Linked DNA regions of Canis lupus familiaris. The protein of the gene in region 1 binds, or shares a complex with, the protein of each later gene. Links are inferred from orthologs where the notes say so. Each region holds a gene or a part of one and is shown in the gene's direction. Other genes may lie near its edges.

Evidence for each region.
Region 2: INTS7 (region 1) and INTS6 share a complex: the UniProt entries of both Homo sapiens proteins name them as parts of the integrator complex. The link is inferred for Canis lupus familiaris from reciprocal best matches to the Homo sapiens genes INTS7 and INTS6.
Region 3: INTS7 (region 1) and INTS12 share a complex: the UniProt entries of both Homo sapiens proteins name them as parts of the integrator complex. The link is inferred for Canis lupus familiaris from reciprocal best matches to the Homo sapiens genes INTS7 and INTS12.

The regions. Positions count from the first base shown.
Region 1 is NC_049228.1:10,099,595-10,103,250, reverse strand, and holds part of INTS7 (integrator complex subunit 7), read left to right. Parts: intron 1-1,938; coding exon 1,939-2,037; intron 2,038-3,379; coding exon 3,380-3,565; intron 3,566-3,656. UniProt on the Homo sapiens protein: Component of the integrator complex, a multiprotein complex that terminates RNA polymerase II (Pol II) transcription in the promoter-proximal region of genes.
Region 2 is NC_049243.1:595,114-598,769, forward strand, and holds part of INTS6 (integrator complex subunit 6), read left to right. Parts: intron 1-805; coding exon 806-932; intron 933-1,661; coding exon 1,662-1,804; intron 1,805-2,003; coding exon 2,004-2,235; intron 2,236-3,656. UniProt on the Homo sapiens protein: Component of the integrator complex, a multiprotein complex that terminates RNA polymerase II (Pol II) transcription in the promoter-proximal region of genes.
Region 3 is NC_049253.1:13,355,167-13,358,822, forward strand, and holds part of INTS12 (integrator complex subunit 12), read left to right. Parts: intron 1-2,714; 5' UTR 2,715-2,788; intron 2,789-3,070; 5' UTR 3,071-3,079; coding exon 3,080-3,235; intron 3,236-3,656. UniProt on the Homo sapiens protein: Component of the integrator complex, a multiprotein complex that terminates RNA polymerase II (Pol II) transcription in the promoter-proximal region of genes.

The DNA.
Region 1 (3,656 bases):
ATCTGCATCCATTCTTTTTTTTTTTTTTTAAGATTTTATTTATTTATTCATGAGAGAGAGAGAGAAAGAGAGAGGCAGAGACACAGGCAGAGGGAGAAGCAGGCTTCATGCAGGGAGCCCGACGTGGGACTCGATCCGGGGTCTCCAGGATCACCCCTGGGCCGAAGATGGCACTAAACCGCTGAGCCACCAAGCTGCCTGCATCCATTCTTCTAAAAGGGAGAATGGTGCCTCTTAGCCTGGGAACAGCCTGAGGCCATTTGGGGTCCCTTTTAGTCCATCCTTCAAAGAGGTGTCTCTCCTAAAATACTTTTGGCATCAGACGTCCACCACCAGTAGGATGTCCCTGCAAGTGCTTCTAAGATCCCTTATTGCAGGAGGATGAATAAAGTTGCATTAGCAGTTAAACCTGAAGAAACAGACCCAATGTATTTGAATCTGTGTTGTTGTTTTGTCAAGTAATAGACCTGCCATTTGTATTATGGGTCTATTGGGCACAAAATGTTCAACACCCTGAAACCAGTAAGGAGTGGATTCTTCAGGCGTGTAGTAATGTCCAGTGGTTTAAAACTGTTTACAACAGGAACGCCTGGGTGGTCCAGCGGTTGAGCATCTGCCTTCAGCTCAGGGCATGATCCTGGAGTCCTGGGATCAAGTCTCACATCGGACTCCCTGCATGGAGCCTGCTTCTCCCTCTGCCTGTGTCTCTGCCTCTCTCTGTGTGTCTCTCATGAATGAATAAATAAAATCTTTAAAAAATAAATAAATAAAACTGTTTACAACATAGACAACTAGGAGGCGCACCCTGCTTGGAATCTGGAGCTTAGAAGGGCAGCCAGCATAGTAGAATGCTTTTCAACCTGAGGGGAAGTAGACTGAGGAGGGGAAGGTAGACCACCAGGAATAGTTCTAGGTCACCCAAGGTTATAAGTGTTCTGATGGTGCTGTAACTTTTTTCTATTAAGTTGGTGAATCATTGGTAAAATAGAACAAAATCATTGAACTAAGAGTCAGGCAACCTAGGTTCTAGTTCCAGCTTATTCTGTTACCTGTGTCAGTGACCTGCATCATCAGCAAAATTGAGGACTAGACTGGGTGACCTTTGACAGTGTCACAGGTGTATACTCCCCTCCAAACTCTTCAAGTTGGATACATTAAGTTAAATATGTATAGCTTTTGTATGTCAGTTGTACCTCAATAAAGTGAAATAAATAAATACATACAATATCTTAGAACTCTTAAATGCTAGTTGTAGGACTCCTTTTACTAAGACTCAAAGGATTCACTGTAGTGATTCTCTTCTGCAGCTATGCTGTGAGTTTCAAAACTCAGATTTGTGAAATGGATTTCTGAAATAAGGTACCCTTAGTAAAATTTCAGAGTAATGTAGAGTTGGACTGTGTAAATCTGAATTCCAGTAAGTTTCCACCATTACTCACCTCTAGGGACCCATGGCCGCAAGGATGGGGAAGCCACTCTGTGGACATGGGATAGAACAGGCAGTGAGGTTCTTCATGAGATTTGGTGTTAGGCCTTGGACATCAATCTACTACTCTGGCTTCTTTATCATATATTCTTGATCCTTCTTTACCATATGAGATGACTCTATTGTGTATCTAAAATAATTATATAATAATATATCTAATAGCCCTAAGGCTATAGAAATGCAAAATTTGTACATTATTTGGCCTTAAGGATTTTCTTCTACATTTTATTTTACTGAGTGTACTTTAAAATAAAGTAAAAATCTGCAGTTGTACTCCCTGACATGAATGATTTGACAAAGATTTGGGTGTTATGCCCATTTCCTGACTGGGATGTATTTTTGCAATAATCTTACAACCATTTGTACTTTTTAAACTTCTTCCTGAAAGTACTGTTTGTTGATGAAATTTGGAAATTTATTTTTATTTAACTTAGTTTCTTTTTTCCTGCCAGCATACAGCATGCCTCTGCAATGCCATCATTTCCCTGCTGAAAGTTCCTCTTTCATTTCAGAGATACTTTTTCCAGAAACTGCAGTCTACCAGCATCAAGGTAATAATAGCAAGAATACAAAGGTTAATACAGATTAAAAACCCATTCATCTTCTGAAAAATATGTGGAATACAGCTCTGCTTCAGGATCTTACCTTTGGTTTTCATAAAACTTACACCCTTTAGTTATAAGTTTGTTCCTCCCTTTATCAGGTGGTTTGGTGAAGATAATAGGATTTGGGAGTCAAACCTTCTGCACTGGGTGGAAGAAAAGGGTGCAGAAAACTTCTGCAGAAGATTTGACTTCACTAGGTGCAGTGAAATAGATGTTTGGGTACCTGGAGCTCTGTCCCTTGTCTCCGAGAATAATCTGAGAGGTTTTCATCATAGTCCTCTAGAAGGATCTTGTGCTGAGTTCAGGTCTCATTGGGCTCTTTAGACCCTGTTTAGAATAAATCAGGTCCAGTAAAATATTACCAGCCCTACCTGTAGAGTGCTTTTGTCTGTGAATATCAAGTTTTGAGGAGTTGGCCAATGATAAGAGCTAGTATTTGAAAATATTTAAGCCACTCAAAATTCAAGGGCTATTTTTAATTCAGAGAATGGAATTGTTAAGAAAAAATGGAAAACTCTCCTCCAAAAGATTTCCTAGATTATCCCTGTTAGTAAATGTCTTCAGTGTACTTTTGCATATCCATTCGAATGCTTTTGATTTGACCTGAATATAAGGAAAATTGATTATCCTAGAAAAGATGTCTTAAGGTAGGATGTGTGTAGGGTTGGTTGATGCAGTGCTCGAGCATTATCAAAAAGACCCACCTCTTCCATCTTTTCATTTAGCAGAATTTGGACTTTCTGTAATTTAAGGGTACTTGGGATTTTTTTAATATGTTCTTAAATAAAAACTAATGAGAGGTTAAAAACTTCATTTGGTTCATTGGCAGAAATTGAGTTTTCTATCACTGTGACTTGGTCATATGTGTGATCCTAGAATTTTAAGTTCACTTGCCCTTGAATTTAATCTATTTAAAATTACATAGGAACAAAGAGAAGAATAGCTAGACATGCAGATTTATATAGTGCATTTCTCTACTGGAGTTGGTTGTCAAAGAAATGCCCCAGTACAAAAGTGAGGAAGACTAGGGTCCCTCACTGTTTTCTGATCCTCTGTTACCCTCACACAAAACTGGGGTTTGGGGTAGAAAACACAGTAGTATTTAAAAGAGGCATCAGGGAAAAGGAACTCTTGACTTTAAAGGTCTATTTGTCTGGCTGTCCCAGCTGTCAGCTTGTTAGCTGTGTGTGTCATGCTGTAACCTACAAACAACAATTAGCACAAACATGTTTGTTGGAAGAAAGCTTGTTCCTGCTGTTTAACATTCATTTCAATGTCGGTATTCCAGCTTGCTCTGTCGCCATCCCCACGGAACCCTGCAGAGCCCATCGCTGTCCAGAACAACCAGCAGCTGGCACTAAAGGTAGAGGGCGTGGTTCAACACGGATCTAAACCAGGACTCTTTCGCAAAATTCAGTCCGTCTGTCTGAATGTTTCTTCCACGCTACAGAGTAAATCTGGACAAGACTACAAGGTAATTTAGGAAAGAGGCAGAGTTGTGATATGGATTTTATCAGCTGATTCATGGAAGTTTTCCCATGTTTTTCATGGTTAAGCAGACTGTG
Region 2 (3,656 bases), on another chromosome or scaffold:
TTTTACTCCAAGGTGTATCTGTCTACATGAGAAAAACGAAGACAATAGCCATAGAAAGGCTTTTTATGCAAATGTTCATAGCAGTGTTCATAATAGCCAAAAACTGAAAGGAAACTTCATAAACTGGAAAATGGATAAACTGTGTTCATAGAATGGAATACTACTCTGCAGTCAAAAAGAACAAACTACTGATGCATTAATAACCTGGATGAATCTCAAAATATCATCCTTAGTGAAAAAAGCCTGATAGAAAAGATTTGATATAGCAAAATTCCACTTATAAAATGGAATGTAGGGAGACAGGAAGCAGGATTAGTGGATGCCTGGGGATAGGAAAAGGGATTGACTACAGATGGGCACCAAGAACTTTTTGGGGATGATGGAAGTGTTCTTAACCTGCATTGTGGTGATGGTTTCACAACTGTTTGCTGATATTCATCAAACTGTATACTTAAAATGGGTTAATTTATTGTACGTGAATGATACGTCAAAGCTGTGTTTCTTCTTTAAACTTTCAAAGGTTTTAAAATTTGGAAATTTGTTTTATAAGCTATTTACTTCTCTTAGCCTGAATATATAATAAAACCTTGAAAGATGTGAATTTGAGGTATTTGATTAAGCTCATTACCAATTTTGATCTTCTGGTTCCCAGGTGTGTTTAGATGGCATCATAATTCTTTATTCTATTTTGAAGCTAATTAGACTTAATATATCTTATTTCAAAACCTATGCTGCAGGCTAGAGGTTTTAGTCTCTTTTAATTCTATGTTGGAAATAAATTTTGTCTTTGAATGATTTTCAACAGGATTTGAAGCCACAGACATTTAGAAATGCATATGACATACCAAGGCGGAATCTTTTGGATCACTTAACAAGAATGAGATCTAATCTTTTGAAGAGCACCCGCAGATTTCTTAAAGGACAGGATGAAGGTTAGATCATGGTTTTAGTAATGGTATTTTTTTTGTGAATTTCTTACTTTATATTGAAAAAATATGGTATGGGAATATAACTTTTAAAGAATTATTAGTAGTATTACATTTTCTTTTTAAATTCAAACAAATGAAGTAAGGAGTCATCTCTGATTCTCAACTTTTTTTTCTATCATCACTGTTGCCTCAAATTCTATTCCCCCGAGGTGACAATCTTTATTAGCAGCTTACTTTCTTTTCTTTGGCTTAGTTCATGCATTCACATGCACACACAAAATCATTTTCTTGTGATACACTAGTTAGTATCTGGTGGTTTAGCTTGGATGGTCAATACGTGTCCTCTTCTTTCAACAATATCTGTAGCATGTAGTACAAATCAAGTCAGATGAGAATTTAACTCTTTGCCATCTCTGATATAAGCATTCCAACTATAGCTTTATATAAAAAGGATTATCTCTGTGTATGTCTTTCCTGTAAATTTTGCTATAATTCTACTTCTTTGGAATAGAGAGAAGAGACATTCCTATTCATGGTAATGTTAACACATCATTACTTATTTTATACACTCAAATGGACTACAATATTTTTGCTTTTAGAAGATAAAGTCAATTCTTTTAAATTTTACTTTAAAAAAATCTCAAAAAGATTTCATTTTAGTCACAATATTTATAATGACAACATATGAATAGTGAGGTTAACTTTTGTTGTTGTTCTCTTCTGTTTGAAAAGATCAAGTGCACAGTGTTCCTATAGCACAAATGGGGAATTACCAGGAATACCTCAAGCAAGTACCTTCTCCACTAAGAGAACTTGATCCTGATCAGCCTCGAAGGTTGCATACATTTGGCAACCCCTTTAAGCTAGATAAGAAGGTAAACTTGAAATGTTCCATTGTATAATTCATTTGTGGATTTAACAGTTCTTAATTTAACTAAAGTAAGCTACTTTTCTTGGTAGACTAATAAATGTCAACATAGTTATAATACAGTTGCTCTAATGGGGATTGGAATTAGTTGTACCATTTAAAAACTGTATGTAAATCTAGGGAAATTATATATTTTTTTGTTACAGGGTATGATGATAGATGAAGCAGATGAATTTGTGGCTGGACCTCAAAATAAACATAAACGACCTGGAGAACCAAATATGCAAGGAATCCCTAAAAGACGTCGCTGTATGTCCCCATTACTAAGAGGCAGACAACAAAATCCAGTTGTGAACAATCATATTGGAGGAAAAGGACCACCTGTACCGATGACTCAAGCACAGCCAGATCTTATTAAACCCCTTCCTCTTCATAAAGGTAAGAATTTAAAAACAAACTTTATTTGCTGCTTTTTGTTTCTTTTGTGGGGATGAGATTTTTGTAATAGATTGTGGAAGAAATTGATTGATAAAGCCCAAGAGTGTCTAGAGAAGATACTTGTTTATTTTAAATTAGCATGTGATCATTTTGTATGTCTTTTTAAAGAACATTTGTTGGACATTTCTTATGTTTATCATGCTTTATTATAGCTAGCCATAATCTAAATACCATTTATAAGTCTGTTAAATAAAAAATTCAAAATACCGTTTACAAGTCTTAAGTATTTCAAAATAACACTTATTAAAGGGGTATTAGCAATACCCACAGAAAGATGGTTTTCAATTTCAGGTTAATTCAACAACTAATTAGGGGCACCTGAGTGGCTCCGTGGATGAGCGTCTCAGGGTGTGACCCTGGGGTCCTGGGATCAAGTGTCACATCAGGCTCCCCACAGGGAGTCTCCTTCTCCCTCTGCTTGTGTCTGTGCTTCTCTCCCTGTGTCTCTCATGAGTAAATAAAAAAAAAAAATCTTTAAAAAAAAAACAATCAACTAATTATTAAATACACGTGCTATTATGAACAGTGCTAGGCATTGAGGTATCATAGTGAACAAGACAATAGTGATCTCTGCCTTTATGATGAGTGAGGAAAGATAGTCATTGAATGTTGAGTTAGAATGTGATGAATGTTATAAAAGGTGGTAAGATGATTTAACTTAGTTTGTGAGGTCAAGACCCTTTACTGAGGAAGTTATGTTTAAGCCAACATTTAAAGGGTGAATGGGAATTGTTTCACTAAAGCTGTGCATTTAGTAGTAGTGCTAAGCAGTATGCTAGGCACTATAATATGCTACAGTAGTAGTATAAGAAAAATATGTGCAAACAAATATACAAAAGAGAAGATTATAGGAACTGAAAGAATTCCAGTTTAGCAGAGGTGTTCAGAGTCAGATAAGGTGAGAAATGAAAGATAGGCTGAGGCCAGATCATGGAGGGCCTTGGAGGCCGTCGTAAAGATTCTAGACTTTAAAGACGAGAATTTTTTTTTTTTTTAAGATTTTATTTATTCATGAGACACACAAAGAGAGGCAGAGACACAAGAGGGAGAAGGAGACTCCCTGCGGGGAGCCCGATGCAAGACTCAATCCCAGGACCCCGGGGTCACACCCTGGGCTGAAGGCTGGTACTAAACCCCTGAGCCATGCAGGTGTCTTGACAATGAGAATCTTTGAAAGATTTTGAAGAGCTAGTGACCTGACCTGATTAGCATTTTATAAAAAACAGGCCGACTGTACTGTTTGGAATATTGTTTGGGAAGAATAAGAATGGATTTAGGGGAACCCTTAGTGAATTAATGATTTCCTTAAATATAGGTAGTGATCATTTATGGCTTATAGCTATAGCATCATAACTGGTGAG
Region 3 (3,656 bases), on another chromosome or scaffold:
AGGGTGAAGGGAAGGTAAAATAGAAAACTAAAATATAAAGAATAAAACACATAACTATGAATGTTGTATTTTAGGCCCAACTACTGTTTTCTCTGTGATGAAGGAAAGACTTGGAGCAAGGAGGTACCATTATTGGACAAAGCAGGGGGAACAAGGAACTGGAGGCTTCTATAAATTCAAAGTGCAGGTGGAATGGGAAGAAAGAAATGGGGCAAAAAACCAACCAAACAAAAAACCCAAAAGGAGGGTTGACCTGGTACCCTGAAGAGGCTTCTGGATCAGAAGAGTGGAAGAGATAGAATGATGGAAGATTATAGTCAAAAAGGAGAATAGTTGTAGCTAGTTTCAGGTTTCAGTGGCTGAAGATGAAGCTCCTGGAGGGCTGAAGATCCAAGTAAACTGAGTGCAAGAAGCTAGAGAAGATCATCAATATAGATGCAATTTTAGCATTGCCAAATATGAAGATAGGGAAGAGGAAGAAAATGAGCATGATTCCATACTTAGCAACTTTGAAGGTGCAGGTGTATATTTCAAGGAAAGATGATGATGAATGGTGGTCATGGAATGTTTTTCCAAAAACAGCAGTATGGAATTAAGTCTCCATAGACCTCTTTGCTCTTTCAATACAAAGTTAAAGGAACACCATTTGGGAGATGGTGGTAAAAAGGTGATGTCAAGGGGAAATAGCAAAGGTAAAAGGATAGAAGGAGCGCTTGAGAAAAAAAGTAGAAAAATAGGGGAATATATTGGTAATGATTGGGGGCTAGAAGATGATGGGCAGCTAGCAATGAAGTTAATGTGGGGAGCGAGAGAAGATCTGAGCTGATAGTACTGGGTGGCTTCTCAAGGGAAAGGTAGTATGTACCATAAAGCAGCCTTGATGTATACATAATAGGGAAAGGGAAACTAGAAGTTGCTAGATAGACAAAAGCAGTGGCCTTCAAACTTGTTTCATTATTCCATGTGTATAAAATTGAGCATACTTCATATATATGTTAGTTACCAATTATATGCATATACTACTATCATTCTGCATACTAAAAGCTTATTTTTTTAATTAAAAATTCTCACATTTTTCTTCCTGTATATTCCATTATGAAAACCACTGGGTTGGAGGGACATGTTAGTAATTTAGGACATGGGTACAAATCGTGTTCAGGTTTATAATTGCAGGGTTGTATAAAAAGAACTGACTCAAAGGTTCCAATTGGAATGTTAGTGTGATGATACTACTTCTATAGTTTTATAATCTACATGCTGACTCTTGTCACCTAATCTGTAATGCAAACCTTTTGTATGTGATTATGGAAATACATAACAGTAAACACTTCTGGTTGTCAGCATAGAATTTCAAGTAATGATTTTTCTAGCATATTAAAGGGAGTCTTCTAAGTATTAACCCTTTGGTCAGCCTCATAAAACACATTGTTCTGGGTGAGTAAACACTATGGTCTTTAGCCATAAAAAGTTAGGCCAATAAAAAAATTAGGCTGTATTCCCCTTGAGCACTCAGGAGGAATGGCAGGTTTATTCTTTTCATCATGGACATTTTAGTGGGGAATTGTTTTCTCCTGAGAATATGTATAGTGACCAGCCTATACCTGAGTAAATTTAAAAATAACCTTTCTGTACCTATTATCTATATGTGATGTATAGAATAATACAATTTTAAGAAGTGACAGAGGTTGTGTCTCGATTTTCATTAAATTACTAGTACAGCTATTTGAGATAGGTTATTTTTCTTTTAGTATTGGCTTTTGGATTCATGAATGATTCAAATATTTTAGTAGAGCACAGAATTTGACAATTATTCTGAGGCTATCAGATAGGTAGCTAATACTTTCTTGAAAACTTTAAAAAAAAAAAAAAAAGCGTAAGAGTGTCAGTGTGTGTGTGTATGTGTGTGTATTTCCTGTCAAAGTTGTAGAGGAATTGGGGAGAAGTAGAAGGGTAAGGAACAACAAAATTCATTTTCAGTCGGAACTTTCATATGCCAAGATTCAACCTACAGCAAGTTTTAATGGCTTTATAAACCCCTGAAAATGAGAGATTACTGTGGAATTTGCTGACAGATCCATAACTCTAACAGTGCAAGTGTGTTGCATTATTACAATATTAACCTGAAGGATAGAAGACAACTTCAAGCCCTAGAATATTGATCAAAGGATTGAACACAAAGTATACACTTTTATTTTAATAATTCCTTGCCTGGAGAAGTATTTGAAAAAGTGACACAAGAAGTAGAATCACACGATAGCATTGGTATTAACTGAAAACAAAACTTTTTAATGTTTTGTTTTGTTTTTAAGGAATTTCATAAGCCTTTGATGTACATCTTCACTATATTTCAAGCTTCTAATGACACAGAGCATTACCATAGGTCCTATGGGGAGATTTTATATCATATATATAAATATATATGTATAATTTTATTTATAATTTATAGTAGTTATGGTACCATTCCTCAGAAACCTTGCTAAAAATAGGTTAATGCACGAGATACCACAATCTAAGTGTGATCCAATAAGATTATCATTAGAATGTTTTCTGAGGCATTCAAGTTTGGAGCTGAGGACTAAGGAGATTAAAAAAATACATAGTTGAAATTAAAGCTGTAGCAGTGACCTTTATAGCTCATCACTTGGTGCTTCCTCTAACCATTGCCCTTCTGTGATACCTCATCCCCACCAATTTTTTTTTTCTTTTTTTGGCAGTGGAAATCAGGTTTGAGAGAAGAAATTTTGATGTCAGCTAGACCTAAACACATCAAATTCCTGTATACTGAACTCTAAGTGTATATTTTAAAACAGGAGGGGGCTCTGTGGCAGGGAAGAGTTTATCTGGATTTAAAATTTAGCCATGGATATGAATACCTACAAAACTGATCATGTTCTTGCTTCGGGGAAAAAGAATTTGGTAGGGAAAACAAAGACATTTACTTTTTTCCTGTAATAACCTTTTAGACATTTCATATTTTGTATCTTGGGCACAATATTGCCTATTATAAATAAAAGAATAAAATAGATAACTGTTCATTGTCTTTAATTCCCCCCTCCCCTTTTTTCTTCAGGTGTTTGCAATGGCTGCTACCGTGAACTTGGAACTTGATCCCATTTTTTTGAAAGCACTAGGCTTCTTACATTCAAAGAGTAAGGATTCTGCTGAAAAGCTCAAGGCACTGCTTGATGAATCATTGGCTCGAGGCATTGATTCAAGTTATCGTCCATCTCAAAAGGTACCTACATGAATAAAAAACTTGGGGGGTGAGTTTTGTAAGGCCAATAGTAGAATAGTATTAATATTTAGACCATCTCAAAACAGTCTCCTGGCCAAAATAATCTTTCCTTAAGGGTTGAAGGAATTATATTGTTTAGTGTTCTTTTCTTCCTTCATGCTTTCAGAGAACTGTTACACTACATAGAAAAGTTAGCTGGGTGGGAGGGATATTCTCTTCTACTAGTTTTTGTGTAGAGAAACCCACTTATTTACTTATTTTTTTTTATTTGATTTAATTTCTAATTCTTTAGGATCAAAACATTTTTTAAGCAACTGGCTGAAACTATAACTTATAATTATCCTTTAATGTTTTGTGGGCAAAAATCATGAAGTGAAAGGACAGGGATTTTGCAATGAAGTGAATTGGATATGGGTAGGAT